Linked DNA regions of Caenorhabditis elegans. The protein of the gene in region 2 purifies or fractionates together with the protein of the main gene of each other region. This does not show direct contact. Each region holds a gene or a part of one and is shown on either strand. Other genes may lie near its edges. The genes, in order: ola-1, fbxc-54 and aly-3.

The links.
Region 1: the proteins of fbxc-54 (region 2) and ola-1 fractionate together in Caenorhabditis elegans (co-fractionation; one large-scale study listed by BioGRID). This does not show direct contact.
Region 3: the proteins of fbxc-54 (region 2) and aly-3 fractionate together in Caenorhabditis elegans (co-fractionation; one large-scale study listed by BioGRID). This does not show direct contact.

The regions. Positions count from the first base shown.
Region 1 is NC_003279.8:13,332,305-13,344,452, forward strand, and holds ola-1 (Obg-like ATPase 1), read left to right. Parts: upstream 1-8,022; 5' UTR 8,023-8,044; coding exon 8,045-8,230; intron 8,231-8,615; coding exon 8,616-8,835; intron 8,836-9,764; coding exon 9,765-10,432; intron 10,433-11,320; coding exon 11,321-11,434; 3' UTR 11,435-11,648; downstream 11,649-12,148. Other genes in the region: Soluble guanylate cyclase gcy-35, read left to right, coding at 71-224, 271-349, 620-777, 967-1,032; casc-3 (Protein CASC3), read right to left, coding at 1,373-1,441, 1,493-2,400, 2,623-3,041, 3,370-3,535, 3,594-3,696, 3,745-3,834; W08E3.4 (Major sperm protein), read right to left, coding at 5,156-5,260, 5,311-5,383, 5,549-5,648, 5,704-5,869, 6,178-6,492, 6,540-6,584; snr-2 (putative small nuclear ribonucleoprotein-associated protein B), read left to right, coding at 7,127-7,129, 7,183-7,353, 7,410-7,718; wac-1.2 (WW domain-containing protein), read left to right, coding at 11,769-11,900. UniProt on the Caenorhabditis elegans protein: Hydrolyzes ATP, and can also hydrolyze GTP with lower efficiency. Has lower affinity for GTP. Plays a role in regulating starvation-induced thermotaxis responses in AFD thermosensory neurons.
Region 2 is NC_003280.10:27,053-37,453, forward strand, and holds fbxc-54 (FTH domain-containing protein), read left to right. Parts: upstream 1-4,666; 5' UTR 4,667-4,772; coding exon 4,773-4,849; intron 4,850-5,167; coding exon 5,168-5,621; intron 5,622-5,669; coding exon 5,670-5,813; intron 5,814-6,174; coding exon 6,175-6,308; intron 6,309-6,356; coding exon 6,357-6,507; 3' UTR 6,508-6,559; downstream 6,560-10,401. Other genes in the region: F23F1.4 (DUF7753 domain-containing protein), read right to left, coding at 571-947, 1,011-1,227; F23F1.5 (Snurportin-1), read right to left, coding at 3,064-3,292, 3,563-3,812, 3,869-3,953, 4,007-4,124, 4,189-4,405, 4,453-4,522; F23F1.2 (EF-hand domain-containing protein), read left to right, coding at 7,217-7,328, 7,371-7,493, 7,538-7,786, 7,833-8,098; F23F1.6 (Cationic amino acid transporter C-terminal domain-containing protein), read right to left, coding at 8,249-8,473, 8,520-8,764, 8,826-9,510, 9,553-9,684, 9,735-9,936, 9,988-10,250.
Region 3 is NC_003282.8:12,121,411-12,131,557, forward strand, and holds aly-3 (Chromatin target of PRMT1 protein C-terminal domain-containing protein), read left to right. Parts: upstream 1-1,871; 5' UTR 1,872-1,903; coding exon 1,904-2,111; intron 2,112-2,161; coding exon 2,162-2,281; intron 2,282-2,328; coding exon 2,329-2,420; exon of another isoform or gene 2,421-2,836; coding exon 2,837-2,963; intron 2,964-3,013; coding exon 3,014-3,189; 3' UTR 3,190-3,399; downstream 3,400-10,147. Other genes in the region: M18.6 (CULT domain-containing protein), read left to right, coding at 1-192, 243-468, 516-1,067, 1,117-1,357; dhhc-6 (Palmitoyltransferase), read left to right, coding at 3,542-3,664, 3,712-3,997, 4,179-4,487, 4,536-4,747, 4,851-5,216; lin-24 (CABIT domain-containing protein), read left to right, coding at 8,097-8,228.

The DNA.
Region 1 (12,148 bases), on a different chromosome or scaffold from region 2:
GATCTTGAAATTTCCAATACTTTGTCAGTTGACAACTTTTGTATCTCAAACGGCTGACGATCTATTCCAGGTACTGTCTCTTCGGTGACACTGTCAACGTGGCGAACAAAATGGAATCCAACGGTATTCAATGCAAAATTCACGTCAGCGAGACTGGGAAGCTCAACGGACTGAAAGCTAATCCATCATACGTGTTCATTGACAGAGGAAATACGGAGATCAGGGTACTGTAGTGTAGATTTACGGAGGTCAAATATTCCATGTTTTCAGGGTAAAGGAATGATGTACACCTACTTTTTGGAACGAAACGATCGGAAAAGTGTATGGGAGTTGTGTTCAAGACCTAGATGTGAGTTTCTATCTGGATGGGTCTCGCCGCGAAATTTTTTTTATTGCTCAAAAAATTCCTCAACTTCTACCACAAGCCTTTTTCGCGCCGAGACCCAGAGAGTGTAGATAGTTGAAGAGGCACAGACATCTCGGGACCCAGCCGCTTTGTGTAGATTTACGGGGGCTTTAATGAAGAGGGATCCGTAAATCAACACAAATCGGCTATTCCCGCTACCCGCCTGTAGGCATGCGTGGGTTAGCCTTCTAACCTTTTATGCCTATTTTTCAGCTGGCGAACAAACAATCGACGGATATATGGAGCTTCACGATCAATCGATTTATCAAGAAGAAGGTGGTCAGCAGGAGAATCTGACTGTGGAAAATGGAAATTCTGCTCAAAATAACCATAATAACAATAATAATACACATCATTCTGGAAGGAAATTGGTAAGTTCTGCGGCCTACGCCTGCCTGGCGCCTACCTCGGCAATCGGTAATTACCGAAGTTACCGTACGCCAAACAATTTTAAATTACTGCTGTGCAAACACCAAACAAAAATTCAGAAAACAGGCGGTAGGCAGGCAGGCACTTACGCCTGCCTACCAGAAAACCCATACCTACAAAAACTCTTTCAGATGAATGGATCAAGTGTGGATCCCGGCAGTCATCACATCCGATCACCGACTTGCACAATTTCTTAACTTTATTTTCTTTTTTTTTTATTTTTATTTAAAAAAAAAAACACTTTTACTCTGTATTAAGTAGAAAAAGAGAAAAAAGACAGAAAAAACAACGTATTTTTGTATGAGAATTATTAATTTTTTTTTTGAAAATGTAAATATTTTTTCTGAAAACAAATAAATATATATTAATTTTTGCGTAAGTATTCAGGATGCAATCAATCAATAAATACATTTTTTTGGGGGGATGCAATGATTATCATAAGAAAAGGCCTATGGGATGAAGTTTCGGGGAAAAAATATATAGAAAATATATTAAAAATTTGAAATTAATAATTTAAAAAATGAATTTTGATCATGTTTATTGATGATCCTTTGGGTCAACAATTGGGATGACCTTTTTAGAGCGTGGAGGAAGTTGGCGGGTTCCCTGAAATTAAGAATATCGTGTCGAGACCCATCAGGGTTACTGTAGTCTTACCTGTTGCTGCTGGGGATCAAAGTACACAACATCGGTGGGCTGTCGGATCCTCTGCTGTCCACCACTACCACCACCACCTCCTCCATTATGTTGATTTCCTCCGTGTGTGGAGCCGCGTGTCATTTGTGGGGGTGGGACTACGTTGCCGGGCACAACACCGACGGCAACCATCGGTGGTGGGGGTCCCTGCACGAAACGCTTCTGTTGGTGGTTATGGTGATTATTGTGATGTTGTGGTGGACCGTGGTAGCCGCCACCGCCACGTGAAGCATAATCAGCATTGTTTGAGGAATAACCTCCCCGTGATGATGGATAGACATTGGCTGATGGATGAGGATGGGATCCACCACGGAAGTTTGTTGAAGATGCTTGATAGGAACGATCGGATTGATGGTTTGGTCGAGGTGATGAGTAATCCGTACCGGATCCTCCTCGCTGATACCCTTCACTTTGTTCTGAAGTATCAGTTCTTCTTACTCCATATCTTGGTGCTCCAGATCCTCGAACACCTCCTCTGATCGCACCAGTTCTACCGTATCCTCCAGTGCCACGTGTCACGGTGCCTCCTCCTCTGGATGCTCCTCGTATAACACCACGTCGATGATTCTCGAATCGATCATCATTTCGATCTCCTTGATGGCTATAGTCACGACGGGAAGATGATGATGGTGGTGGTGGAGGTCCTCGAGATGAAGATTCCACAGGGCGTCTGTTGCTAGCAGAAGATGGTGGAGCTCCGGATGATCGTCGTGGTGGTCCCATCGGATGGCTCATTCGTCCACGGAGTCGAGATGGAGGGCCCGACGTGGTTCCACGGCGGAGTGGAACAGCACGTCGTTGGCCACGTCGGATTGCACCATCGTCCTCGTCTTCTTCGTTTTCCTCGCTAGATGGGGGAGCTGCGGGTTCTGAAAATAGGGAGGCTTGATTGGATGTTAAAATCTTTATTGGATATTAAGATCTAAGTTTGATTGTCACTAGTGGGGTTTTTGCATCAGATTCCTCCAAAGTACCGAAAAAAAAAGCAGAGCAATTGCCAGAGAACTATAAATTTTTTGCACAAGGGGCCTAGTTTTCGAATCTAGTTTCTTAACTTAAACCCAACATATTTAAAAATCCAGAAAACTCACTCTGTTTCCTTGGCTTCTCCTGCTGCTTCACCTGCCTCTTCTGTGCTGGCCTTACACCTTGATCTTCCTCTTCTTCTCCCTTTGACTCATCCACCGTATCTTCTCGTTCTCTCTGCTTCATCGGCCTTCTCGACGTTCCACTCTTTCCGACTTTCCCCCTCGTAGTCGACGAGACTCTCCGATCCTTCTGTTGTCGGGAAACTTGTCGAGCATCCGAAGACTCTTCTTCTGTGGATTCAGGTGCTGGTGCATCGATTTCTTCGCCGTCTTGTATTGGTGTACCGTCTTTATGACGAATATCGAAGCCGTACTTGGTGACAATTTGTTTTTTGGTCTTTGGGCGTTGGAATTTCTCATCGAAGCGGTCGTGCTTCCAGTCACAGTCGGCGCGGCTCTTTTTCAGGTTTCGGCGGTCATCACTATAAATTTTCAGTTTTAGGATTCCCGTTTCCCTGTTTTGGATTATTTTCGAATATCCCCCGGAATGAGAAGCCCATTTTCGAACCAATCAGTGTCTTTGAACTCCGCCCATTTCATCTGATTGGTTGAAAGTTGGGCGGAGCAAATTTCTGATTGGTCTTGTAGTTCTAATCTTGGAGCGAATTCAAAAAATGAGCATTTGTCAAAATTGAAAAATTTGAGTAGGATTTCTCATACTTTCTGGATTTTTTTCGGTTTTTTTTAGTATTTCTAAAAACCCGCCCATATCTTGGCTCTTGTTCATTTTTTTTCAGGTTGTGCACCTACCTATCATCATCCTGAACTTGAGAATTATTAACATCGCCTCTACGATTATCATCATGCATATAAAACCTTCCAGTTTTCGGGATATACGCCGGATTTTCCACGTTCTGATCATCATCCAAATTTGATTTCTCTTCACCGTCCTCTGGGCCATCTTCTGCCGCTTCATCTGAACAGAATCTCATTTTTAACACATTTTTTCTATAAAAAAAAAAGAAAAACCCTACCTTCCTTCTCTTCAGAATCTCCACCACTTCTCTTTTTGGCTGGAGCTGGCTCATCATCGTCTTCTACTGATTCAGCTGGTTTTGCTGACTCTTGGGGAGGGTTCTGAAATGAAAAAAGTTTAATTGTGTGAAATTAAAAATCCCAACTAACCTGAGCTTCACCGTTCACTTTCACTTCTACCGTTGACTCCTCGTTTCCGCTCTTCTCAACCGTCTCCGTAGTCGCCGACTCGGCCGCCATTTTAGGTTCTAGAATACGGGAATTTTTATTCAATTTTTTGAATGAAAAATAACTTTGATAATGAGTAAGAGCTTGGTTGGGACAAAAATCGATATTTCACAAAAAAAAATACTGTGGCAGGTCTCGACGCGACGAAAAAAATGTTTTAGCAAGGGTATGTGCCTTTAAATAGTACTGTACCTCCTAGTTTTCATTTGTTGCTTTTTTATTTATTACGGGAACAAAAAATTCTGAAAATGCGTATTGCGCAACATATTTGACGCGCAAAATATCTCGTAGCGAAAATTACAGTAATTCTTTTAATGACTACTGTAGAACTTTTGTCGATTTACGGAAATCATTTGTTAATTGATAGCATATCAAAAGAACACTCAAAAATAACAAGACAGTACAAAAAACTACAGAAAATTGAATATCACTGTCTCGAAAATTAGTACCCGTAAATCGACACGAGAGCTACAGCAGTCCCTTAAAAAATTACTGTGGTTTTCGCTACGAGATATTTTGTGCGTCAAATATGTTGCGATGTACGCATTCTCAGAGTTTTCTGTTCCCGTAATAATTATGAAAGAAAAATCACTGAAAATTACAAAAAAAAAATATTTTTCGGTCGAGAATTTCGGTCGTGTCGAGACCTTATACCGTATTTTCGTGTCAAAAAAGTTTTTCATCTTAACATAAGTTTATGAGCACTTTGAGCAAAAAAGAGCCAAAATCGATAAATATTTTTGAAAAATTCTAGTTTTCAAACAATTTCCATGAGAAATATCTCTTTATTTTTCGGAAAATTTTCCCACAATGGGAACTTTTATTGATTGAAAAGTCTAATTGCTAGTTTTTTTCTAACAAAAAACCTAGAAGTTATATAATTTTTCGTATCAAAGTTTCAAAAAACGTAGATGGGCAATTTCGAAATGTGGGCAAAACTGAGCAGAAAATGTGTATTTTTAGGAAAAATCAATAACCACAGAGCTCTTGCAAAACCTATTTTTTCAAAAAACTACACGAAAAAATCCAACTGTACAAGTACAAAAAGTGGTTCAAATTGCAGTTTTAGACATAGAACACCGGCGATATACAGAGACGCAGACAGTTGTGCAGAGAGAATATTCCCTTTTTAATGTGGTGGGTCTCGTCGCGAAAACGATGGAGATTGACAGCGAGATGACAGACAAGTGGAGCCTCACAGTGGAGAGAGTACTCGGAAGTGGAGAGAGTGCAGAGAAGTAGTAGGGAATGAGAAAGAGAGACGGAGACAAGTTAGAGGAAGAATTCGATAAAAAAGGCGGGATGTTTCAATTTGAAAGTTTATTCGTTTTATTCAAGAAATTGAGCAATTTGCTTGATTTTTCTCATTTGGAGCAGTGGTGGCTTTCATTGCATGAGCCTTCTGAGCATTTTGAAGCTCGTTTTGGAGACGTTGAACCTGAAATTCAAGTTTTTTTTTAAATTTTTCAAAATAAAAAATCTCAGTACCTCTGCACTTTTGCGCATGTAACTTCCTTCCAGCACTGTCAGTTTCGACTTGTACTCATCGACCAGAGCTTTTCTGAAATTTGAGTTGTATCGGGTCTCGACACGATCAAAACTTTTATGTAAAGAGTGTGCGCCTATAAGGGGTACTGTAGTTTTTAATCCGTTTTTTTTTTAAATTTTGATACACCATTAAAGGCGCACGCGATCGTGGCGAGACCCGGAAAAAATTCAAAACTACCTTTGTTGCAATTGTGCATCCAAAGTGATTTTCAGCTGTTTTGCCTGAGTTATATTAGATTCAAGCAGTGCTGTGTCACTTTTCGTCAGGTTTAGAATCGCTGAAATTTTCGCAAATTTAAAATTAAAAAAAACGAAGCAAACGCGCTCTATTACACTTAAGCTGATCCACACGATCCGAACCAATCACTGAAGACGCGTCGAGAGCCGTATGAAAATCGGTTGCCGTCTTTGAAATCTCCACTGCCGACTCGATTTTCATGATGGTTGTGCCGAGATCCAGGGAGATGGATTGGACATTTTCCGGAGAATCGAAGAGTTTCTGTAGGGAAAAATTACTTTCTTTTTTTTTGTAAAGTTTTTAATTCAAGCTGAAATTCAGCTGAAAATCGAGAATCTTTCAGTTTTTTTGCTTAATTGCAATTTGAATTTGCGCGTTTTTGTCAAATGCAAGCGCGCTCCATCGAACAACGCTCTCACAAAAAACGCGGAAATTCAAATCGGAATTTAGCGAAAACTGACAGCTTTTCGGTTTTCAACTTGAAATATCATCTTTTCTGAAGGTTTTCGAAAAGTTTTACTTTATTTTTTTTATATGATATTCAATTATTGTACGAAAATAAAACCAACTTTCGGGTCGAAATCTCCACATTCTGGAATTGATGCAGCTTGAAGCACGATTTCATGTCTCGGTCGGAACTTGTTCTGATAAAGTGTGATACACACTTCAATCGGCTCATCGTCACGCAAAACAGCCTGATTTGGGGTTATGAAATATCGAGTTGGAGCATTTGTCTTGAAAAAATTCAGATATTCCAGAGGCTGCTCACACCTGAGCTTAAATACCAGAAATCTCCAATAAATTGGTCCAACACCAGCTAAACTATTCAATTTCAACTTTTGACACGCATTTTTTGGTTGATCAATATCGAAACACACGAATGTCTGAATAAAATTACCGGATAATTCAAGAAATTTTCGAAAATTCTCACTTGATCCAACACGACATACAACTTATGACCGTTAGACTGCTCCATTCACCACTCTTCGATTGGACTAATATTCGAAATAATCGATTTTTGCATTTTTTATACCCCTCCCCTCACCTTCTCTTCCCCAATTTCTGCTTTCCGTGGGGTCACGCCTTTTTTATTTGAACTGCCGCGCAAATCGATTTAAAGGCGCACGCATTTATACGAATGGGTCTCGTTGCGGCGTCTCTAGATTTTCGAATTATTCTCCAGCAGTTTTGGCTGATTTTCAGCTTGTTTTGTCGGTTTTCAGTTGATTTTTAAGATTTTCTTTCGAAAAAATTGAAAAATTAGTGAATTTAAAGGTTCTTCATCGCTTAAAATTTCAATCAATTTCAAAACCTTGATTTCTCGCCGGTATTTATGTAATTTCAAACGATCGGTTTTCAAACGGTTCTTGTGACTTTTAGAAGTTGTTTTGCAGAAATATTCGTTTGTTTCATCTCTTGTATCATCAGAACTCTTTAATTTCTTTCATTTTGAAAGAGTAAAACTTCAATATTCTTATTTCCAGGTCCTAGACAAAAAATCACAACCAACGCCTCAAGATGGTAAGTTTTTCTACAGTTCTCATGGAGATAAATACAAAATATTTTCTTTTCAGACTATCTCCAAGAATAATAAGATGATGGCTCATCTCAACTACAGGATGAAGATCATCCTTCAGGACGGTAGAACCTTCATCGGATTTTTCAAGGCTTTCGACAAGCATATGAACATTTTACTCGCAGAGTGCGAGGAACACAGACAAATCAAGCCAAAGGCCGGAAAGAAGGTATTGTTTTCTGTTTCTGCAGCGTTGATTGAAGACAAAAACCATTTTATTTTCAGACCGATGGAGAAGAAAAGCGAATTCTCGGCCTCGTACTGGTCCGCGGAGAACATATCGTCTCGATGACCGTCGACGGACCACCACCAAGAGATGACGATTCAGTGAGACTCGCCAAGGCCGGAGGAGCTGGAGGTGTCGGACAAGCCAAGCCAGGAGGCCGTGGAATGCCAGCTATGCCAGGAATGCCGGGAATGCCACCAGGCGGAGCACCAGGAGGCCTCTCTGGAGCCATGCGCGGACACGGAGGACCAGGAATGGCAGCCATGCAGCCAGGATATGGCGGCCCACCAGGAGGACGTCCATTCTAAAATTTTGCTATCCAAATCCGCATGTTTCTATCATTTTTCCCACCGATCTTGTATTTTTCTCTGTTCTTTTCATTTTTTGTGGTAGAAATACCTTTAATTATATATTTAATTTATCGATACTCTCTCGGGTGATCGAGATCTTCCCATCACCCACCAATCTTCGTAAGCTGTTCAGAATCTGGAATAAACTTTTTGAATTTTGAGAGATTCAGTAGGCTAGGTTTTTGATAGCTCAATGGTTTTAAACCCAGAATTCTCTATCTTCTAAATTCTCATCTTTTTTTTATTGTAAAACACTTAAAAGTCGTCAGGGAACCATCAAAAAGATGCCTCCAAAGAAGAACGTCGTCGAGGAGAAGCCCGCGTTGATCGGACGTCTTGGTACCAACCTTAAAGTCGGAATTCTGGGTCTTCCGAACGTTGGAAAGTCGACATTCTTCAATGTGCTCACCAAATCCGAAGCACAGGCTGAAAACTTCCCGTTCTGCACCATCGATCCGAATGAGAGCAGAGTACGTTCTTCTGGAAAATTCCAGCGGAATCCTCTGATTTTAAGCCTTTCCAATCGTGCGAAGTCCTTTGATTTTCGGTGTAATACACGCGGAAAACTGATTTTTGCAAAATTTTACAGTTTTCACTGGATTTTTGGACTATTTATTTAATTATTTAACATTTAAAATAGCCCCAAGAGCTGTTTTACATAGATTTTTGCTTGAAATATTATCAATTGAAAAAAAAAGTTAGCTTCTTACAGGTAAAACGCAAAATAAATAGTACAAAATTCAAAAAATTCAGTTTTCCACGTGTATAACACCGTAAATCGACGCAAGAGCCGACCTGCACTGTATAATGAATATTTAAAGCCTTCTAACAACTTTCAACCATTAAAATTTCCAGGTAGCCGTCCAAGATGATCGTTTCGATTGGCTTGTGAACCACTACAAGCCAGCTTCAAAGGTTCCAGCTTTCCTGAATGTCACAGATATTGCTGGTCTTGTGAAGGGAGCTTCAGAGGGTCAAGGACTCGGAAATGCTTTCCTTTCTCACGTATCCGCCTGTGATGCACTTTTCCATCTGTGCCGTGCTTTCGATGATGACGATGTTACTCACGTTGAGGGTAATACAAATTTCCGAATAAATTTAGATTTTCTGGATCCTCGTATAAAGCTAATTGTAAAAAACTACCGATTTTAAGCCAAAATTGACCCCCAATTACACAAAAACTGGAAATTTTCGACTGAAATTGATTATCTTCGAAAAATATTCATTTTTGCCGCCAAATTACCAGAAATTGGAGAAGGAATGCACCAGAAGAAAGCTCAAACTTATTTTAAAGCTTTATTCTCCTTTTACGATTTTCTAGATTTTTCAGACTTCTGGAGATTCCTGGAGCGAAAAATCAGTTTTGAATTACCTATTTTGCATTCAAAGAGGATAAATGTTAGGTTTTAAAAAAAAAAGACCCCTAATTTCATACCTAATTTCATATGGAAATTGCTCAGAAATGTTGGAAAAAGACAACAAATTTAGCTAAAATCTCGAAAGTGTCTCTGTTTTTGCGTAATTTAGTCATTTTTTGTTTGAAAAGTACACGTTTGGACCAAAAATTGCACCTTAATCGTGAAAAAAATGAACAAAAATTGCATTCCAGGTGCTGTGGCACGGCAAAATGGCAGTGTTTAGCTGAATTTATGCATTTTTTCGAAACTTTCATCAAGAAATTTCAGCTTTCTGGCCCTTTTGAGCCTAATTGAGCAAAGCACAGTTTTTATCACTCCAAAATAAGCCGAAAAATGTTCAAGTACGGTCAAGTGAACAATATTTGAGTTTTTTTAAAGCTATTTTAGGTCACTTTTAAAGCTTTTAGATGTCTTTTCAAGTAATTTTGAGTATATTTCAGCAAAAACTTTTTACTACTCTGAAATACGCTGATAAATGTTCCAACACGTCGGATTTCGGTACCATTTTTAAAATATATGCTGTAAAATGTTTTTTCAACAAAAAAAAAATCAAAAATTAACCAAATCAAGTCAATTTTCTTTTCAGGAGAAGTCGATCCAGTCCGTGACTTGGAAATTATCAGCAACGAACTGTTCGCCAAGGATCTTCAATTCATTGATGGTCCACTTGATAAAGTTGAGAAGCTTTTCACTCGTGCCAATGATAAAACGAAGAAAATTGAATACGATACACTTGTCCGAGTGAAAAAGTGTTTGGAAGAGAAAAAACCAGTTCGTCAAGAGCTCTGGAACGAGAAAGAAATCGAAATTCTCAACAAACACCTCTTCCTGACCGCCAAGCCAATCGTTTACTTGGTTAATTTGTCTGAAAAGGATTATATTCGTAAGAAGAACAAGTGGCTTCCAAAGATCAAGGCATGGATCGATACGAATGACGCCGGAGCAGTACTCATTCCATTTTCTGGAGCATTTGAGCTCAAACTTCTCGATATGCCAGAAGATGAGCGTCAAAAATATCTCAAGGAGCAAGGAGTCACGTCGAATCTTGATAAAATTGTTCATACCGGATACAAAGCTCTTCAACTTGAATATTTCTTTACTTCTGGAGAAGATGAGGTGAAAGCATGGACAATTCAAGTTGGAACGCCTGCACCAAAAGCCGCAGGAAGAATTCATACGGATTTCGAGAAGGGTTTCATTATGGCTGAAGTCATGAAAGTTGCCGATTTGATCGAGTTGGGAGATGAGGCTAAGGTGAATAATCGATCGATATCTGGAGTTTCAGGGATTTTCGCCTGAAAATACGGGTCTAGAAGCGACTTTAAGGAGTACTGTAGTAGCTTTTCAAGTTTTTTCCAAAATTGTTATGTATTTTTTATAAATTTGCACATGTTTTTCAAAATTTATTGGAAAACGTGGCAATTAATAAAAATACACTAGATTTTGAATAAAATGGAGAAAACCCTGAAAAAAACTAGCTCCTACAGTACTCCTGAAAGGCGCACACTCTTTTTCATTCTAGAAAATCGATCGCTGCAAGACCCGCTACCGTATTTTTGCAGCAAAAATCACAAAAATTTGCTTTTTTTGTGCTGAAAATCTTCAATTTTAAGTTCGATATTCTAATTTTCACTAAAAATTAATCTAGAAATATAAAAAAATCATTGATTGATCCGAAAATAATACCAATTTTCATTGAATAATTCGAAAAAGGCCTCAATTAGTGCCTGGAAGTTAGAAAAAAATGTCGTTTAAATTTTTTTCGGCTGAAGACAATTTCCAGGCACTATTTGAGGTCTTTTTTCGAATTTTTTTTAACAAAAATGGATTTTATTTCGAATCAATCGATGATTTTTCTATATTTTTAATATTAATTTTTGATTTAAAAAAAAGAAATTTTGAATAAAAAATAAAAATAAATAATGTACCCGGTCTCGACACGAAAATTTTTTGTTCAATTCGAAAATGCGTGCGCCTTTAAAAATTACTGTAATCGCAAATTTTCATCGATTTTTCATATTTTTCGATAAAAATTGGAAGTTACAGTACCCTTTAAAGGCGCACACCATTTCGCATTTACGAAACTTTGTCGTGTCGAGACCGAAACTTCGCTACTAACAACAAATCAATTCAAATTTTCAGTGCAAAGCCGGCGGCAAATACCGTCAACAAGGAAAGACGTACATTGTTCAAGACGGTGACGTCATCTTCTTCAAATTCAATGCCGGAGCCGGTCTTCAAGCCAAGAAGAAGTAGAATTGGAAAATTTCCCAAATTGTTCATTGCCCGGGGTTCCCAAATTTCCTGTTTAGTAGTCATTTTCCGTTTGTTTTTCTTATTTTTTCCCGATAAATTTAAAGTTTTTATTGTTATTTGCGCATAACTTGTTCCCCCGCCCCCGCAAAAATTGATTTTTGATAATTTTATATCATATTTAATGAACTTTTCAATGTTTTCAGTTGGCCGCAGATCAGAAAATGGTAATTTCTGACCATTTATTTATATATATCTCTCTCTTCTGAGCCTCGAAAACTCCCCAAAAACTATACCCGCCGTCTTGTAGATCAGCTCGGCGGTGGAGCAACTGTTTATGGCGGGTCAGCCGTCAGGATCAGGCTCCGAATCGATTCAAATAGTAAAATTGCATGCTTTTGGAAATTGGAGAGAAGTTCAGAGTCGAACTATGCCTGGACAAATTTATTATTACAATCGATTGACTGAGGTGTGGGCTTGTTTGGCAAAAGAAAGCAGAAAAAATTGGCTGAAATTCACATTTTTTAATTTTATAGAATAAAAATCTAAAAAATTGCCAGTTTTTTAGGTTTAAAACTCTCGAAAATCCCAATTTCACTTAAATTCTCACAGAAAAACCAAAAAAAAAAACTATTTAGTCTGAAAAAACGCTGGAGAAATATTTTTACAATTAAATTTGCTCTGTTTTCCAGCAGAAAACTCAAAAAAAAAACTGAT
Region 2 (10,401 bases):
AAAGACAGTTGGAGAAATTCAAAATCTCACAATTATGGATTTTTTTTCGAAAGCTTGCAGTTTGCAGAAAAATTGCTGGACAATTTCTTGATCATTTTCAAGAAATTTATTATCTTAAAATTCACATCAAATCTCTTTGAATTAAGAGGTGGGCGGCAAACGATTTTTCCGGCAAATCGGCAAATTGTCGAAATTGAAATTTCCGGCAAACTGTCGGAATTGGAATTTCGGTCAAAATCGATTTGCCGAATTTGCCGAAAATTATCGGAAAATTGTGATTTTGTACTTTTTTCTTGGAAATTTCAGAATTTCAATTTTAATCGGCAAAATTGTACACATCCTATAAATGTTGCTACATCTATTCTGAACAGTAAGCAAATTATATGATATTATTAAAGAAAACGTGAAAAAATTTTCAAAAAAGCACAGTTTTAAGTTTTTCCGTCTTTTAAAAAATCCCTCGAAACATTTCCGACACATGGCAAATCGACAATTTGCCAAAAATGAAAATGAACGGCAAAACGAACGGCAATTGCCGCCCACCCCTGCTTCAATTTTTTAAGTGTATACCTTTCTGAAAGTATAAAACCCAGGTCTATGCGGACAATTGATCCCACGCAATTGCCCAGCCAAACTATTAGATTGGTCTTCTTCATTCTGCTCCAAATTGGTCAAAGATTCACATACATCACAAAAATAACAATTGTTTCCATAGCCACCACATCCATTATTACTCGCGTTTTGACACTTCATGTTGGAAAAGTCCTTTACATTCCACCACTGATATTCCGCTTTCGCAAAAAAACTATTGTCAAGCGCTTCTGGTAGATCTTTAACTTTGACATTCTTAATTTCCAAAGTAAAGCATCCTGGGAATCGAACAACGTCTGGCTTTATATGAACTTGGCTCGGGTTAATATCCAATATTTTTTTTGCTCCGGGTCGTGCTTAAAAATAGCTTCTTTGTGAATCAAACAATTATGGATAACAAAAAATGGAAAAGTACATACTGCAACTTGCGTCAGCCCTTCCGGGAACCAGCCAAATGTCCTGATAGTTGCATTTGTGGTTGAGCTTCTTCCTAGCATCGGTGTGTCTGACTCCATTCCTATACTTTGCACGACATGCAGGATCCAATATATCGCAGTCAAGTTGGGCAAAAATCGATAATATAAATGAGAAAATAATCAGAATGGATATGTTGAAGGTGTAATTCGAAGATCGCATACTAAATGTGAATATGTGTATGTTTAAAATGGAATTTTCAATACAATTCGAATAAAAGGAAAGTAAAATATTTGTAGAAGCAAATCAATTTCTAATGATAATTGCGTCACAGTGTGTCCTCTAAAGTGTCTTCTTTCTTGTCTGCATTTTCTCTTATGCCTCTCTTTGTAACAAGATTGGCCGTACATGCCCCTCTTCCGACGCACCTAACCTGTTGACCATGGAGACCTTGGAGGTCATCATTTTTTTTGTGCGAAATTTGGCATTTAGCAAGAGAAGGGATCCCTTATGGGAGAGAAATAAAGAGTAAAGATAGGCAATTATGCTTTGTACCACGAGAAAAAAAAACTCATTTGACACATGAAAATCTTTTGAAAATGGAACAATCTTATACTATTCAGTACATGTGCTCCATGTCGTAAAGCGGTTTTTTACAGTTTCTTGAATGAAATCTCACGTGGTGTCAGGCTGTCCCTTCGCTCTACTGCACATGAAAACTTATGACGTCACAGCGAACTTCGAATAATTGTTTTTCAATTTAAGAGCCGATTTTCGTGAAATTGTTTTATCATTTTTTGAAGCAAAATGCAATAAAAACACAATTTTATTTTAAACATTATATTTAAAAATTATGAAAATCGAAGCTTAAATTGAAAATCAATTATTCGAAATGCGATGTGACGTCACAATTATTGCAAAAAAACATTTTTCCCATCTTTCGTGTGCAGTCAAGCGATGGGACAACTTGACACCACGTGACTATACGAGTTGGTGATTAGAATTTCAAATACAAAAACAATTTAGGAAAATACTCTGAAATTAGGAACTTTAGCAAAAAGAAACATTTTAAAACTATTGCTCGAGGAGTACACGAGCTGTGGAAATCGACATATTTTCCAATTTATTATTACGGCAACAAAAAATTCTGATACTTAATGCATATTGCACATCATATTTGACGCGCAAAATATCTGTGTAGCGAAAACTACAGTGACTATTTAAATGACTACTGGAGATCTTGCGTCGATTTTCAAAAGAATTTCTCAGTGACAGCGATATTACATTTTCCTTCGTTTTTTTTTTGTATTACTGTCTCATTTAAATTAAATAATATATTGCTTTCAATTCATTAACAGAAAATCGAACCCGTAAATCGACACAAGAGCTACAGTAGTCATTTAAAGAGATACTGTAATTTTCGTTACGAGATATTTAGCGCGTCAAATATGTTGTGGAATACGCATTCTCAAAATTTTGTGTATATCCCGTAATAATTGCAAAAATACACTTCAATTTTAAGAAAATTTGAAAGTTGTTCATAAATTGGCGGCATTTTTTTTTTGAGAATCCTACAGACAAAAAAAACGTGAAATTTTAAAGAAGCGGTGTCGGTGAATAGAGACGAAGAGGGATTAGGAGATAAAAATAATTGATCGAAGCAGCAGAAAAACCGATTTTCTTCATTTTCTTGCCCATCTCTCTCTCTGTCTCTTTTTATTTCGAAAAAAGACAGTCAGACTGGATTTGAGTGGAATAGAGGGGAAAGGGAGGGACAGTTCTACGAAGCGAAACGAAAACGATTATCCATCTCTGTTGGCAGTCTCATATGGAAAAGGTTGAAAATTGAAAATATTCGGGAACAAGAAGAACACAATAATATTTATTTCGACATACAAAAGGATTATATTTCTTTTTTCAACGAAGAAAAAGAAGTTGAAGACAAGAAGAGAGAGAGTTAGTACTCTGACACGAAAAGGGTAAAACTTACCTGAAAAGGAAATTGGAAAATAGGGGGGGGGGGGGGGGGGAATAAAATAATGAATAAATAAAAAACATTTAATGCTCCATAGATCTATCGATTTTCGACTGATGTTTATGCTTTTGATTGAATGATTCGATGAACTGTGAAGATGATTGTCCGTTTGACTCGGCCTTATATTTTTCCGGTACCGGGACATTGAGGATTTCAGGTAACATCCATGGTTTAAGCCATCCGACTAGAGGTGATTGTCCAGGTTGGTATACAACCGAATTATGATAGAAGAGGAGTCCATCGAGACGGAAACTGGAACAAATATTAAAGGTGTAGTAGGGAAATTTGACTTTTTGAGGGAATTTCAGGGAATTTGAGTGCATTTGCAGACCCAAAACGGTCCAAAACTACCAAGTTAAATTAAACGTTGTGAAAATTTCTCAAAAAAATGTTACAGTATTTCTTCTATATTCTATTCGAAAATTAAATTTTTTGAAATTTTGAAACTTTTTGAAACAAAGCAAAAAGCGAGAATTTGAATAAACCGATTTCGCAATTTTTGGTTTTTTTATTTATTATTACCTGATCTCGTTTTTCATAAGCTCCGCCATCTGATCTTGGGAGCACGGACAGCTGGGAATCGGTGAGAAAATATTCCTGAAGCCAGGCGTAGATTTCGCTAGTTCAGGAGCCTCTTCAAGTTTAGACTTTAGCATAAATTGGCGGAAATCGTATGGACTCTCAACATATTCGTGTGCATTCCATGAAAGAAGATCGAGCACATAGTATGTCTGATTCGAGTAGATGCAGTCAAGAATTGTCCAAGCCTGATCTATAAAGTGAGCACATTGAAATCGATTTTTTATTTATTTCTAAAAACACACATACTTTTAGCACGAGTATTTCCACCAGGAAGGCGAGACTGAAATCGCGATACTTCTCTTCCGCCTTTGTTATATGCAACTGTGAAGCCCTGAAATACAAGATTATCCCGGGTTTTTAATAATTAAATCATTAAAAACAAACTCGTGATGCAACGACAAGTGTCCGTTTGCCCACTGGAGCCATAACCATCGTCCAGTCGGAAGAAAGTGATTCCGGAATATCCACAAGCCACTCACTCAACATCATTTTGTCGGCATATCTTTAAAAATTGAAATATAGTTTTTTTTTAGTTTAAGAATTCGAACTTTTAGGAAATTACTTACTTTTTAAATTTTCCAGTGTGTTTTTCAGCAGTAGTTGTCTCAATTTTTTGTTCATCGTCTTCGTCAGAAGTAACGTCATCAAAAGCTAAATTTCGTAGTTTCATAAATGTGTCAAAGCGGCCATTTTTTTGCCGCTCAAGCGTTTCTTCACGACGCTTTGCTTGTTGTTCTGCAGCTTTTGTAAGATTTTTGTACTGCGAATACCTCGGATGTTCACCTGAAAAAATCAATGTTTACTTTTTGTGTTTAAAAAAGGAGTCTCACCAAGAGCTAGAGGATCGACCTGAAATCCACTGCTAAGCTGGTCTGTCAACGAATCTAAATCGTCCCCCATTTGTGATACTGGAAAAAATAATTTTAAATTAGTTTAATCAAACTTTTAACTAAATGAGTATAAGAAAAAGCTTTTACAACAATTAAAAAACTGTAAAAGTCGAAAAAGTTGCTCTGTTGATTTACGATAAACATCTCTCGTTGCGGGATAGTGGAGTGTCGTTGGGGGAAAATATTTTTTCGATTTCGAAATCGATTTCAACACATTCACAGCGAGAAAAAACAATTGCATATAATCGATTTTTTATATTATGGCCTGTGTAGACATATCACCACTATCATATGAATCTGTAAAATCCGTTGTCAAATATTTGAGCCTGAAAAAAAGGTATACTATTTAATATTGATATTTAAAAAAATACTGGTTCATTAACCGCACGGTTAATTAACCAGTATTTATTACGGGAACACAAAATTCTGAGAATACGTATTGCGCAACATGTTTATATCTCGTAGCGAAAACCACAGTAATTTTGTAAATGACTACTGAACGCGTAAATCGCCACCAGCGCTACAGTAGTCATTTAAAGAATTACTGTGATTTTCGCTACGAGATATTTTGCGCGTCAAATATGTTGTGCAATACGCATTCTCAGAATTTTGTGTTCATGTAATTTGAACACATTGAAAAACAAAACATTTTCAGGGAGCAAATTAATTTATCGATTCCGGCATATCATAAAACAGCCAAACTTGCACCTTTCAAACTAGAAAACGTTGGGTTATCAGATTTGTACATTGAAGTCAATGATAGAACGTGGACTTTGAGTGAAACTGACATCATTGGTTGCACTCTTGTTTTGTATCGCTCAAACGGCTACAACTTCCAGCACATTATTTCAATAACTCCTGAAGTTGCGTTCCAGAAGCTTATATCCGAATATTTGAGAAATGGAACACGTATTAAAAAATTTCACTTGTATGCCCTTCCAAGTCTGCTCAAAAACGTTGAGCTTCATGTGTCAGAGCTGAAAATTGACGGATGCGACTATGAAACATTTGCAAAGTTCCGTAAATTCATTGATCATAACCAAAAAATATTAAAGGAGATTGGGTTTGTGGTGCGTCAGAATACTTTATGGATGTTTGATGAACAATTGGTACAGAACACTTCAAGCTTTCCGCCTTCAACTTTTGATAAATTTCAGGTGAAAAACAGTAAGGAGATTTATCTCCAGTTTCCGTATTATAATCCGGTCCCGTTGGACGATATGCTTCTTCGGCTGAAAAACAATCATGTACACATTATCTATCTGGGCTTCCCGATTGAAAAACTACAAGAATTGGCTATGGTGAGAAATTTTGTAATATTATACTTTGGCCAAGTTTGGTGCGGATCTTTTTGATTTTCCACTCAGAAATACGGTACCCGGTCCTGTCACGAACAGAACAATAAGGTCTGCGCTTTTAAGTACGTGGTGTCAGAGTGCCCCATATTGATTTGATCTACGCAGATCTATGAGAATCGCGGGAATTTAGATGCAGATTTCTTAACTGGTTTTGAATGGTTAAGAACGTGCTAACGTGAAATTTTTTGGAAAAAAATTCCCGCATTTTTTGTCGATCAAACCGCAATGAGACAGCCGGACACCATGTGTTTAAGTAAAGCACAGTATTTAACCCACTACTAGTTAAAAAAAAAATATAATTCAGAACTGGATCGACACTAAGAAGCCAATTGGTACCTCACTCTTCCTGGTTGTTGAGCATTATACATATGTTATCGACGTGTTTGAGCATTTAACCAAATACTCTAAAGCTATTCCTTCAAGACTCACTGATCTTGGGTAAGGTCTTAGAACTCTATAATATACAAATAAGCTTGACTCATTCAGAACTTCCTTCTTTTCACATTGTGTAACAATGCATATTGATGAAAGTTCTGAATTGGTGCTATTTGGAGGTCCAATGGTAATTGAATGGAAACCGTTCAAATGGACGTTGAGAATGACGATCATGAAACGCGGATCGACAATTTCAAAATGATTTGGAATCCTCCAAAATTCTGATTTTCCTCAATAAACATTTTAATATTTTATGTTGCAATGTGAATACAATTTTCCTTCTCTGTCAGGATACTCCAGAAGGAATGTATGGAATCTTGATGTTCAGAACATCAGCATCCCTTGATCAAACATCGAATCTGTTATTACACTAAAGTATGTGTTCAGTGAAAGTGCTGTAAAAGATGATTAACGTCCTCAAGAAGCAAATGCTGGCCGATGACAGTTTTTTTGAAGATTCAGCTAATTTCATTAGATATTCTAGTTGATTCAATATCTTGAAGAAATTTTTTCGCGAGATGATGATGTTCTTTCAAGTTAAAATTTTGATAAGTTTACGTTGTCAAAAATAACAACAGAAAACTACAGCTGGGAGTAACATTGCATATAAATAACATAAGTATTAATTTATAATTACACTATAAAATAGTTTTAAAATTGCCTCAGAACATGTAAACAGTCTAAATAATTACTTTTTAGATTATTGTAGATAACAAGAAAACAAGTACAAAATCAGTAAGTATCATGTCATTACACATTTGCTAGAACCAGTATTTTGAACACACTTGCGGACACAGGTCAACACACTTGTTCTTAGCACCCGCCTACAGCTTAGATGTTCCCTTTAAAAGGAAGTACTTACGTCGCTACAAGGGCAGATTTCTCCCTACTTGGCTATATCTCTTTGTTCAATGATTAAACGTCTTCTCTGCTTTCTCTTTTTTGGCTTAACTTTTTCAGCTCCGGTGCCATTACCCCTAGAAGAAGATTTTAATGTTTTCCATACAAAACAGGAAAACCATGGTACGTTTTCTCATCTTTTTTGAAATTTGTATCAATTAACAGAGCAAAGATTCCTTCGTGTTGATCACAATAGAGACAAAGTAGTCTCATTCGACGAATTTCTTCACATGGAACTTGCATATGTTGATGCAAAGAAAGAAGAGTTTGATACGTTAGATAAGAACCGTAAGTGATGTTTAAAGCGTTGAGAAATTAGCAAACTACTTTAGATGACGGGAAAGTGAGCCTTGCCGAGTACGAAGAGCATTTCCACGAAGCCTCAAGCAAGAATGAAAAATCTCGGACCGCATACTTTGCCAAAGTTTTCGAAGATTTCGATGAAGATTTCAATATGGCATTGAGTCGTGAAGAACTTGAACGTGTGCTTGCTGAACGATTCTTAGTCAAACCAAGAGAAAACTTTCCCAAATTGTTTTTCAAGTTTGACGTAGACAAGTCCGGAGGACTTGATCTGACTGGTGAGCTAAGTGCTCGTTTTATACATCTCGAAGTTTTTTTTTACAGAATACATGAAATTTGATGCTGAATTCCCATTCGATCAAACCGATCCAGTTGGTGGAGGACCATCCAAATCTAACAATCACCACGATCAAATGCACACAGAAGTCCCTCAAGATGCTGACGCTGCTGCAATTGCAGCCGTGTTGGCACAAGCTTCACCAACACTGAATAAGAGTCCAGTCGGTGTTGCTCCACCCCAAACGTCACCTGGATTGCATCCAGTGGCACCAGGGTTATTCCAGACGGCGGTGCCAATCAAAAAAGTTTGATTCTAACAGTAACTTTTACAATTGTAATTTTTAATTTTCTCTAATACTGGTATCACAAATCACTGTCATTCACCATATCAATTGTTTTTGTAAATAAAGCTTTATAGTTAAAATATTATATACAAAAATGCATTGCACAAAAGGCTGAAATCAGTGAACTTTAGTATCAGAGGTTCTCGACATAATCTCATTATGTACATCAATCTTACTCAATTTTTGACCTTCTTTGCTGTGACGGATACCATAACAAATGTAGATTACAATGCCAATCGCCAACCATACAAAAAGACGAATCCAAGTCATTGAGTTTAGATACACCATCATGAAGACATTGATGAGTAGACCAAGGCATGGAATGAATGGAACAAGTGGCACCTTAAACTTTTGAACTTATTATTTTTTGTAAAATGTTTCTGTTCACCTTATACGTAGATGTTGACTTATTCTGTTCATGGCCCAAAATAAAAACGAATGATAACAGTGAAAAGGCAGCACCGACTGTCAATAAAATAATACCACCAGCATTGCTAAATATTCCTGTTCTGAATGGAATTGCCAGGCAAATATAACCAAAAATTAATCCTGCGACAGCTACGCGAATTGAAATCCCCTCTGAGAAATTTTCCCAAACACCTTGAAATGGTACCCACGACTTCAGGCATCCGCCTTAAAATTTTTATTTTGTTAATTTTGCTAAACACGTGTGTGTTGCTTTATAAAATCTTACCATTATCATAATCAGTTGCACTACCATCTACAAGATGGGATTGATGCCGCAAAATAATAACACAGATTGAGACCATTGAATAAGCCAACAGAGTTCCAATTGACAAAAAGTCGACAAGCGCCTGCAGATCGAAGACCAGTGCCAAAATTGCGTTTATTATAGTAAACACAATAGTTGCATTGAGAGGGGTTTTTGTTTTTGAGTTTATCACCCCAAACCACCCGAAGATAAGACCATCATCAGCCATTGCATATACAGCTCGTGGAAGAGCGAATGATCCAGTAACTAGATTGTTCAACATACCCGCTAGTGCACCAACACTCATTATAATCTTGGCAACAGTTGCTCCTTTCATTTCGAATGCAGCAGCAAACGCGGCATCAGGATCAACTAAGTCGTATGGTATCATCAGCGTCAATGAGGCGCCCATAAGTACATATATGACACTTATAATTGCCAAAGAAGTGAAAGTAGCCAGTGGGATTGTTCTATGTGGGTTTTTAGCTTCTTCTCCAGCAGTGGCTAAAGCTTCAAATCCGATAAATGCGAAAAAGCATGTGGAAGCGCCAGAAATAGCTCCTTGTATTCCATACGGGAAAAATTTTGAACGACCATCCTGGTATGTTCCTGACCAGAGTGAAAAGTCTGCATAGGTTAGTCCACAAATAATCACAAACGCCAAAACCTGAATGAACATTTTGTAATAGGTTTTGACACTTTAACATACCGCCAGATTTAAAAATACAAAACTAGTATTCACGTTGGCAGAGAACTTTGATCCCATTGCAACCGCCACTGCTACAAGAAACAATAGGAAGAACGCTAAAAAGTCAGGGTACAGTGCAAAAAATCCTTTTCCCTGTAAGTTGAAACGCGTATTAGCATATCTGATTCAAAAATGGCACGAACATCACTCAATCGTCCAACAGTATCCAATGTCCAGTTGGACACACTTTTAGATACAAGATTGTCGAAATAAGCAGACCACGAACGAGCGACAGCGGCGTTTCCAATCATGTACTCTAGTGGTACTGTCCATCCGACAATGAATGCCCAAATTTCACCCATTCCTACATAACTGTATGTGTATGCACTTCCAGCTCGGGGAAACCTGGAAGTTTATCAGTTTAAACATGTAAAGTTAAAAAATAATAAAATAAACCTTGCTCCAAATTCAGCATAGCTGAAAGCTGACAAAAGTGCAGCAAAGCCAGAGAAAATAAAAGATAGTATAATTGCTGGTCCTGCTTGATTTCGAACAACGGATCCCGTGAGTACGTATATTCCAGCTCCAATCATGTGTCCAATCGCAATGAACATTACGTCAAGAATTGTTAAACATCGTTTCATTTGTGATTCAAGATGTGATCCTCCGTCAAATGTCTTTTTACGAAACAAGACATCGGCTATTTGATGTACCTTCATGGTTGTTTTTTCTGAAATTATATATTTCTGAAGGTGAAAAAACTATTCATACAAGAAAGATTAAAAATATGAAAAATTCGGTATACTTTTATATGGTAATATTGTTTTAGTTTTAAGATAAGGCTTCTGGAATTGTGAATCAAAAATGTTT
Region 3 (10,147 bases), on a different chromosome or scaffold from region 2:
CAGAAGATTTTTATGACGCAGAAGATGCGGAGCCACAAGCCATGGAAGGACTGAATGTTGACGTGACTCACAGATTCGATTATGCTCTTCAAGACAATGAAAATAGAGAAAATTATGAAAATGAAGCCAGACTCACAGATTATGGAACAAATTGGTTTCCGATTTGTGGAGTCAGTGCTGTTTGTTTTCCTGGTGAGTTACATTTAAAAAGAAAAACCTCCCGATTTCATATTAGTTTACAGGGCAACAACTCCCGATGAAATTCCACGATGATGAACGAGAAATCTATGAAAGACTTGTATCGAGTGCTCGAGCTAATGGATTTGTTGTACTGTTTCCATTGGATATTCCAGAATGCACATCACTCCCATATATTGCTACACTTTCTAGAGTTGTTCAAGCAAATTCTAACGCTCTGAGTATGGAGTTGATGGGCGTCTACAGATGTAAAGTTTTGAAGTATAATTTGTAAGTTTTACGAAACATAATTTCCTTCTAATTTCTTTCAAATTCAGAGGGCGTGGTGAAGCAGAAGTACAATTGCTACCAGACGTCGAACTTCCATCGTTACTTCCATCATTTATTCCGAAATATGCAATACATTTACCTGCTCACGAAAAACGTTCAATTGCAACCCGAATCAATGGATATCCATTCAATGCTATTCGAGATGTTACAGAAAGTGCTGTGAATGAATGCGTGGGACTACTTTCAGGAATGCTTGGAGATGACACTGTGAGACAAGCTAAAGATCGTGGCCTCACATACTTCAGCTATTTTGCTGCAAAGCATATTTTCTCTAATCGGCTAACTGAGTACAGTCTCTTGAAAGAAGATTCAGCGAACGGTCGTATAGTTGCTGCTCTGAAGTATTTCAAAGTATTTGTCGGGAGATGTTCTAGATGTCGCATTCCAATTTTCCGCAATGAACATATCATGAGGCTTCCAGATCAAACAATGACTCATGTTAATGCTCACGGATTTGTTCACAAAATTACCTTACTGTCAGAAATACGAAACTATGATCGAGCTACACCACCATCATATGAATTCACATGGTTTCCAGAGTCAGCTTATTCAAATACCTCTTTATCATTAAATTAGTCAGATTTTCAGGTACGCATGGATTATCATTCAGTGCTCCAGATGTCATGAACACCTTGGATGGGAATATATCAGCATGACTCGTGAACCACGACGCTTTTTCGGAATTCAACGAGAAGGAATTACGTTTCAAAACGAATTACAAGAAGGCGATACAGAGGAAAATTGGGATCATGTTCCAGAGTTTGACAACGATGATCAAGAAGAAGAAGATGATGCGATGAATTTTATACGGTTAATTCTGCGTCGATGAATACTGTATCCTATTTAGTTACTTTGCTAGATATACATCACTGGTCTCAAAATAATTTTCAAGAATGATTTTTCGTTGCCAATTGGCCTTAAGAAGTAATAAACTTTTTGTATGAGCCACTCGTTGTGTCGTTAGTTTTAAATACTTGTTTCCATCCTTTTTCTTACTTTGAATTATTATTTGAAAAACGTTAAAATTTCTCTACACTGATTTTAAGCTGTCAATTTGTTTGTTTCCCTAATTCTCTGCAAAAAAATGTGTTGAGAATTTTATTCAAATAAGAGGTAACGTATGCTGTTGACCGCGTTGCGTACGCGTCGCGGTCACCAAACGCAGCGTTTTTCTCAGTTTCCTCATTTGCTCATTCCTATCTTTTCATTCATTATTTCTCATTCCACTTTGGTCTCCGCTACATTTGCTCTTCCGAATAATTATAATTTTTTTCTTTGTTTTTTCCCGTGAACTTACTTTTGATCTTAAACCAAATGTTGTCGTTCTAATTCAATTGAAAAACGTTTCAGTTTCAACTCCAACAATCTTCGAAAAATGGTTAAGGCTACCAATGTCGATTTGTCTCTTGAGGACATCATCTCTAAAACCAGAAAGACAACTGGAAGCATTCAAAAGAAATCCTTCGGAGGAGCTCGACGAGGAAATACGAGACCCACTGGACTTCCACGCCGCTCCGGCGGAAGTGGTGGATGGAAAGACTTGGACGCGGTTCAGAATCATGGAATTTCAAGCAGAGGAAATGGTGGGTTTCAAATCAATATGTATCTTATTTTCTACTCATTTTGATTATAGATAGCAAGGTTATTAGAGTAAATATCTCTAATCTTGCCCCAACAGTCATTTCAAGCGATTTGGAGGAACTCTTCGGCGACTACAGACTCAGCTCAGTTTCGGTCAACTTCAACGAGCATGGTAAGCTTGATAATATATGCAACCGTATTGAACCAATTTATTTTCAGGTGATTCATTGGGTACTGGTGACATTTCGCTCACCAAACGTGATGCTGAGAGACTTGTTCAGAAGTTTAGCGGTGTCGCTCTAGATGGAAAGGTATTGCATTGGGATACAACAAATCGATAACAAAGACTTTGAAACAATCAATTGGGGCTGAATCCTGATTAAAGTGTGTGCTCCAGCGGACGCTCCTGAATGCGTTCTGTTCTTCTTCTACCAGTTCACAGAAATCTACTGTACGCAACAACAGACCCAGGCAATCAGAATCTCGTTGTTTCCTTTCAAAAAGAGACTTAATAAACCTGTGTTGAGGTTTTTTTGTTGAGTGTGGCCGTTCATTCGATGAAGCTCGTTGAAATTAGTTTTGACCCGTGTCGTGAGATGGATTGTGAGGGGAAAGCCGTTGCTGTCGACACGCATTAATTGATTGGCTCGAGACTTGGTTATTCAAGATTTCTCCGTTACCCAAATCCTGATCTCAGGTGACACAAAATGGAACATGAATATTTCAGATCATGAAATTCGCCGTCATTGATTCGAGCAACATGGCTGGGAGAGTCGATTTTGGAAACAGATCTCGTAGTTCACCGGGAAGATCATCTCGTGGATTCCAATCGGGTCCTCGCAGAAACAATGGCAGTACGTTTTAATGATTAAATTGTGTTCACCAGAATAATCTTTATTTTCAGAACCAGAAGATTTCCTCCGCGACGGAGTGCACGCCGGTGACATCAAGAGAGGCGGAGCTGGTCGAGGTGGATTCCGCAAGGGAGGCCGTGGTGGAGCTCGTGATGCAAAACCAAAGAAGACCGAAGCTGAACTCGACGCGGAGCTCGAAGCCTACATGGCGAAGCGAAATGCCTGAGCACTTTTTTTTTAAACTATAAATCACTTTTTGAACATTCTTGATATCTGCTATAATCTCTGATCCTTCTGTTGTTCTATCACATTAATAACTCGGAATATTTTACACAATCACCAATTTTTATATTTATCGTTCTACTACTTTCCTTTCTCGTGATCTTTTTGTCCACATTTTAAAAATTCGATAAAATAATAAACTGAGCGTCAATAATTTCTTATTGGATCAAGTATGAAGTCGATTTTCGATGGAAGAATATCGTTGTCAGTTATGTGGATTCACCCAGGTCGCCACAATTATGTTCGAAATTTGATTTAATTTTAAATATTTTATTATTGAAATTTAATCAATTCAGATGACGGGTGAGGTGGTGGAGACTCCGGATTGGCCTGCTCCAATTGCAGAAATTGGAGATAAGCCTGTATTTAGACGAATGTTCCATTTTGGAACCATTTTTGCATTCTCCACAATAACCATGGTATTTTTTATATAATTTTGATCATTATAAAATAATATTTGATTCAGATTGGAGCAGTAACAACATTTTTTGCTCTTCAGTGGATGCCTGTTACTTCATACATGGGACTTTTCAATACACTAACATTTTTATTGTGGAATTATTTAACAATAGGAAATCTCTTCAACGCTTCATTCTTCGGTCCAGGATATGTGCCACGTGGCTGGAGACCAGAGAATGCAGCCGACGAGAAGAAACTTCAATTTTGTGTTCCGTGCAACGGATTCAAAGTTCCAAGATCTCACCATTGCTCAAAATGTGATCGTTGTTGTATGAAAATGGATCATCATTGTCGTAAGTTTCTAGATTAGGCCGAGCTTCTTCAATAAATAATAGATAGAGTATCGTCGGGTTTTTTGCTCGAACAGACAGTAAAGATTCTCAATATATTTACCGAATATAGCTGGAATAAAATAATACAATTTTTTAAATTTTTATGATTTTGCAAAAATCTACAAATTATATTATATTTCAGCTTGGATCAACAATTGTGTCGGTCACCGAAACCATCAATATTTCCTTCGTTTCCTGTTCTTCTCAGTTGTTGGATGTATTCACTCGACTATCATTGATGGTTCAGCACTCTATCACGCAATCTTTGCTGGATGGTATCAGAAATATGGCGATGGAACGGAGCCTATAATCCTTCTTACACCAATTTCCTTCATTGCTCTCGTATTTGCAATCGCAATGGCCATTGCTGTTGCTCTGGCTCTCACTTTTCTATTCATAACTCAACTACGATATGTGATTCGAAACAGAAATGGAATTGAAGACTATATTCGTGAGCTGCTTCTGACAATTTTTTTAAAAATACCTACTGTGTTTTCAGATGGAAAGTCTCTGAACATGCGTAAAGTCCATGAAGGTGACGATGAAGAAGAAATTGAATGGATCAAGAGTCTGGGTGAATGGACGTATCCATATGATCTTGGTTGGAAGAGAAATCTTCGTGAAGTTTTTATTGGAATTTTTGACGGGAGGACAAGAGGAAATGGAACATGGTGGCCAGTTGTGAACGGATGCACGCAGTTTACGTTTACAGTAAGTTCAAGCTCATTAAATTATTTTTTTAGAATGAAAACATTGAAGTTTTTCATTTAAAAATTGAATTACAATAAAATCCGTTAAAAATGTTTATATTCAGATCGATCAACTGCTCCAGAAACAATCGAAGCGTGGTCGTTCGCGTATAATCACCATCAGCGAAGATTTTGCTGGGACCTGCTGCGCATCTCGTAAATTCGGCTGCAAAGTTTGGATGAAACAACCGATTATCGATGGAAAATGTCTCAAAGTTTCGGCTGGTGAAACAATCGTGGCAACACGTGGAATTGCTGGCTGGGTATATGGATTCCGAGAGTCGGATCCACGGAACAAAGGATGGTTCCCGCTTGAGATTTCTAATATGAAAAAGAAAAACGACACGAAACCGGATGAAACATCTACTAGTGAAGATGAGACATCCCAGGATACGGCTACTACTGAAGAAGAAGAAAAGAAGAATCAGTGATCAATTTATTATTTGTATTTTTATGTACTTGTTGAATATTCGTGTGTGATATTTATTGCCTTTCACCTCTCAAAAATCTAATTGCTCTAGATTCTGTCATTCCATGTTTTTATGTAGTGTTTTCTGATAACTACCACCAGACAATAAATTATTTTATCGATTTCCACCATCTCACAACGCCTTCTAATCATGTTCTTAACAGGTAATAGGATTTAGTCGGGAACCCTCTCAACAGAGAGTCGATCTATAACATTCTCGTTTGTCTCTCTCTGAATCGCTTTTTTCCGCTTCCCGTTATAATTTGCGTGTAAGTGAATACAGAAAAATCGGAGACGAAAAGAGGGTCTCCACGACTAGAATGCTCTCTCAGAATGCTCACCGCCTAATGATCTTGGAATCGGCGACGTAAAAGTGAATTATTGGCACGAGAGAGTATTCAGAGTAGGTGTAGTGGTGAGCTTTTTTTGGGAATTTATTTATTTCAAAAGTTCCCAATATTTATGTCATCCGACAGAAAATCTAAATTTTGATTTTTTTAAGTAAAAATTTTGTATAGCAAAACTGAGCTGTAAATCCATGCAACAACAAAAAACAAAAATGAATTTTATTCTACAGTAAGATATTTCTAGCGCTTCAAGACCCGCACCCCGAAAGGAGTGTGTCCCTTTAAGGTAATTGACAGTAGCACACAGGTTGTTTTATTTTGTTTTTCGATTTTCTCTGTTTTTCGATCAAATTCTGTGGTATTTTTATACGGTTTCTAGAAAAAAAAAACTATTTTCAAATATTTATCTACTCTGATTTCCTATTTTTCAAAAAAAAATGTTCAGTTTTTCCGATTTGTTGCGTTTTCCCGTTACATAAATTGATTTTTCTTTAAATTTAAAATTTGTTTTGCACAATTAGGTCAATGTTAGAGTTTCTACGATTTTCTAGCAAGTTGTCATGCTTTCATTGCGGAAAAATACCTCAAAATCTTACAAGCAAGAGTTTTTTTTCAAAATTGAAAAAAAACCTAAAATAATTTTAGAAAACTTTTATAATTTTTTTTGCAGTTAGATGTGGTAGCAGTTAGTGCAAGAACCCCTCGTAGTATTCTCCAATGACGAGATTTCAGAATTTCTTGGCAAAAATAGGGATTTTTAATTTTGAGAAACCTAATTTCACATGCCTAAATAAAGAAACAACCGTTTAGAACAATTGACATCATAGAGCAAAACAATAATCAAAAAACGACGCTCTTGATGACTCAGAAACAGAAACTGTCGGAAAAATTCTTACAGTCGGAAAATTGAAATTATCTGCGTTTCTGCATCCATTCAACTATTTCTTCCCGTTATCGACTCGAAATCTCCCGCAGTGAATGAGAGTATTCTCCCCTCCTTCAGTCCCTCACAAACATCTCTCCGCCCATTCCATTCCTAACAGGCTCCACCCATTTTTGCGGGGAAACGCGCGTCAACTCCATAGACTCGTTGTGACTCATTTCTTTTCCTGTGTTTATTGATTTGTAACAGCTGTATTCTTTTGGCACACGAAGGGGGTACTGTACTTGTGCTCCTCCCCTTATTTCAACATCTTTTTGACACACGGCTCACCACGGTTATGACGTCAAACAGCACCTTTATAACCAAATAGATCAGTATTTTGAAATGTTATTTGATTCACCATCTATACATTTTCACACGCATCCCATAATCTTCTGATAAATTATCGGAAATTGAAGAATATCGGGAGAAAATGTCGTGGGAAAATCTACGACTATAAAATTCGACAGGCTGAAAAACAATATCACTTTTTCTGTTTTTTCACTTCTAAGAAGTTTTTGAACCGATTTTTTTGTGTCAAAATACGGTACCAGGTCTCACCACGACAATGTTTGTTAACTCCGGAAAGGTGTGCGCCTTTAAAGAGTACTGTAACTTCAAACCAGCGTTGCTGCTAAGGTTTCATTGATTTTTGTCCCGGCGAGACCCAACCAAATGAGCCCATGCGCCTTTAAGTAGAAGATTACGATAACTTTTCAATGTTGAACAAAGCTTAAACACTTCGTTTGTTGCTTTCTAAAATATTAAGTTTCCAATGCCCTAAAAAATGCAATAAAGGCCGTTTCTATTCTTCTTTCTCCGTTTTTGGCTCTTTTCAACCGGCTTTTTCTATTGTGTCGGTTCCCCTTTCAAAACTTGTCTTATTCCTCCCCTTCCAAGCACAGAATGCACTCACAGTGTGTTCTCTCAACCGTAATGTTATCATTGTTGTTAATGATAATCTGTGTGTAAATTTCGAGTTCGATACCTCCGCCTGTGATTCTCTCTCACTCTCTACTCTCTCATTTGACTCATCAACTTTATCGATGAAAAGAAAAAGAGTTTCTCAAGGGATTCTCTCTTTTTCCTAATACCTCTCACTGATTGGCTTCATTTTACTTTTCTATTCCATTTTGTTTTCCTTCACTTCTGTCCTCATATTTCGAAATTTTCCTAATATATCATTATTATGAGGACACAGAAAGCGTAGAAACGCGCTCCGCCCACACACCATGGGTCTCGTTAGGTATTTGGTGGCAAATCCTTAGTTTTGTCGAGTTTTCTATCGAAATGATATTTATAGAAATTCATGTCAAGTTGAAAAATCAAGAAGGTTTTCCATTTGTTTACGAATTTTATTTCATCACTTTCGACACTAAAATCATTAAAAACAACAGAAAAAATTACAAAAAATACGAAAAAATCTTGAAGATTTTTGAATTTGCTGCCAACTACCTAACGAGACCCATATATCGTTTTTCTGCGCTTCAACAATATTTTCTTCAGTTTCTTTCACTTATGTGTCTTTAAAATAATATTTCTAACATTCCTCAATTTTTTTTTATTTCAGAAAATGAATCACGTCGATGTAGATCAAATTCTCGAAGACTATGCATGGCACCAATTCCAAGATGTGCAGTCACTTCGAAAGACTCGAATCGATGACTTTCGCGGAATTGACAGAGATGACTGCGAGTTTGTGATCGTAAGTTGGATACTTGAAAAGAGGCGAAGGCCATCTTCATAGGTCCGAGAGATTGTGTCTCCTTTGTTTCCTAACCAATTTATTATTGTAGAAATAAGAAAGAGAAAGAGGGAAGAGGCGCGTGCCGGTACAGTTTCAAAGAAACCGTTTTAACATATGAAAAGAGGTAATAGAAGAGATTGAATAGAAAAATGGTAAATAAGAGTAGGCAATAAGGTAACCATATTCAATTAAATACAACCAGATGGGTGGGTGCAATTCTACAAACAATGTTGCTCTTTTTCTGGAAATCTAGAATTTTTGAAATGAATATTAGGGTTTCTAACTCTTTTTTCGGCCTATTTTCTATTTTTGGCATTCATTTTAATTTAAACCCACCTTATTACACAGACGCAATATTAACCGATCTCAACAAGACCCATTTTTGTTTGATACAAAAAGGTGCTCGCCTTTAAAGAGTACTGTAATCTAAAAGTTTTGTTTCTGCGAAATTTTTAAAATACATAAATTCAATTTTGTCGAAGCCTACGAGCAATCGATATAAATTCGGCAATAACAAAAGTTGAATTCGCACACCATTTTGCATTTAACAAAAATTGTCGTATCGAGCCCCTTTACCGTATTTTAGCTTTGAAAATGTCCTGATGTCTCCACGAGAACTACGTGCATTTTTTAGAAAAATTATACAGTTTTTGGCTAAAATAATTTGGAAATCGAAAAACCGAAAAATTGTTTAGAAAATTATCAAAAAATTCAATTTTTGTCAAATTTTTGTGCTTCTTTAAAATAAGAAAATTGACCAAATTTTAAAGTTTTTTTTTCGAAAAATTACGCTTTTTACCGACACCGCAGTTCGCGATTCCTATTAGATGTCACTCTACATAATTCGATAAAAAATTCCATTCACACCTATCAAATTGTGGAATCTCTGACTCTTTGAGGGACGACAACTGTCACACCCTTTTACCACTATTTTTCTCAAGTTTACCCGATTCATCTGTATGATATGACGCGTGTCGCCGTCGTCTGAGATTCAATCGAAAAGTGTCCGCGCGAAACGCCCCGGTTGTTTGTGTTGTCCTGTGTGAATGGGATCGACAGGGATATAATAGAATGTATGTTCATCAGAGACTTAGACATATTTGCGAGCTGATTTGACATCAAGTGCCAACGAGCACAGTGCTCTCCCGCCACTCAGTTCAGTCACTAATGTTGAAATAGTTGGGGTCGAATTGAAGAAAAATACGGAGAAAAGCATGAAGAATATTATAGATTCGGTAACTCGATATTCACTTCTTCTTTTTCTTTTTGAATTCTCTCGAGCTCTCTCTCTATTTTCAAAATTCAAAAGAAAACGAGTCCTCTCCTCAGTTTTGGTGGTTTTGTTGAAACGCGCTAATGAGCAGCTAGTCAGTCAACTCTCTTTTTCCATTCCATTGTAACATCCAAATGGAAACCCTCTAATTAAAGAGTGACCTCTTCGGTGTGGATGGATGAATTGGAAAAGATTGATATGAGGGAAAAAAGATGAAGGTCTACATATTTACATACATTTTAGGCAGTATTACGGGAGGAAACACACACATCACCCAGAGGCGATTAGAAGAGAGAGAGTGAGGGTTGGAAGAAGAAGAAGAACGAAATTAGAAGTGGGATTAGTTGGGAAAGAGTCTTGAAATGATGGGGAAGGGAAATATGGAAAAATGTAGGAAATAGGAAATGTAAAGGTCAGGGGCGAAAAGTGGTACTGATCCGATTTCTGAACAATACGATCCCACCTTTCTAAAGCTGCTCTTCTCTTATTGTCATAGACCGACACTTACCGGCTTTCGTCATTAGTTGGTGTTTACTGGTACCTTTTATGATGTGTGGCAAAACCCGCGAAGTGTCAGGTGCTGCAAATCTCTATATCATGGTGA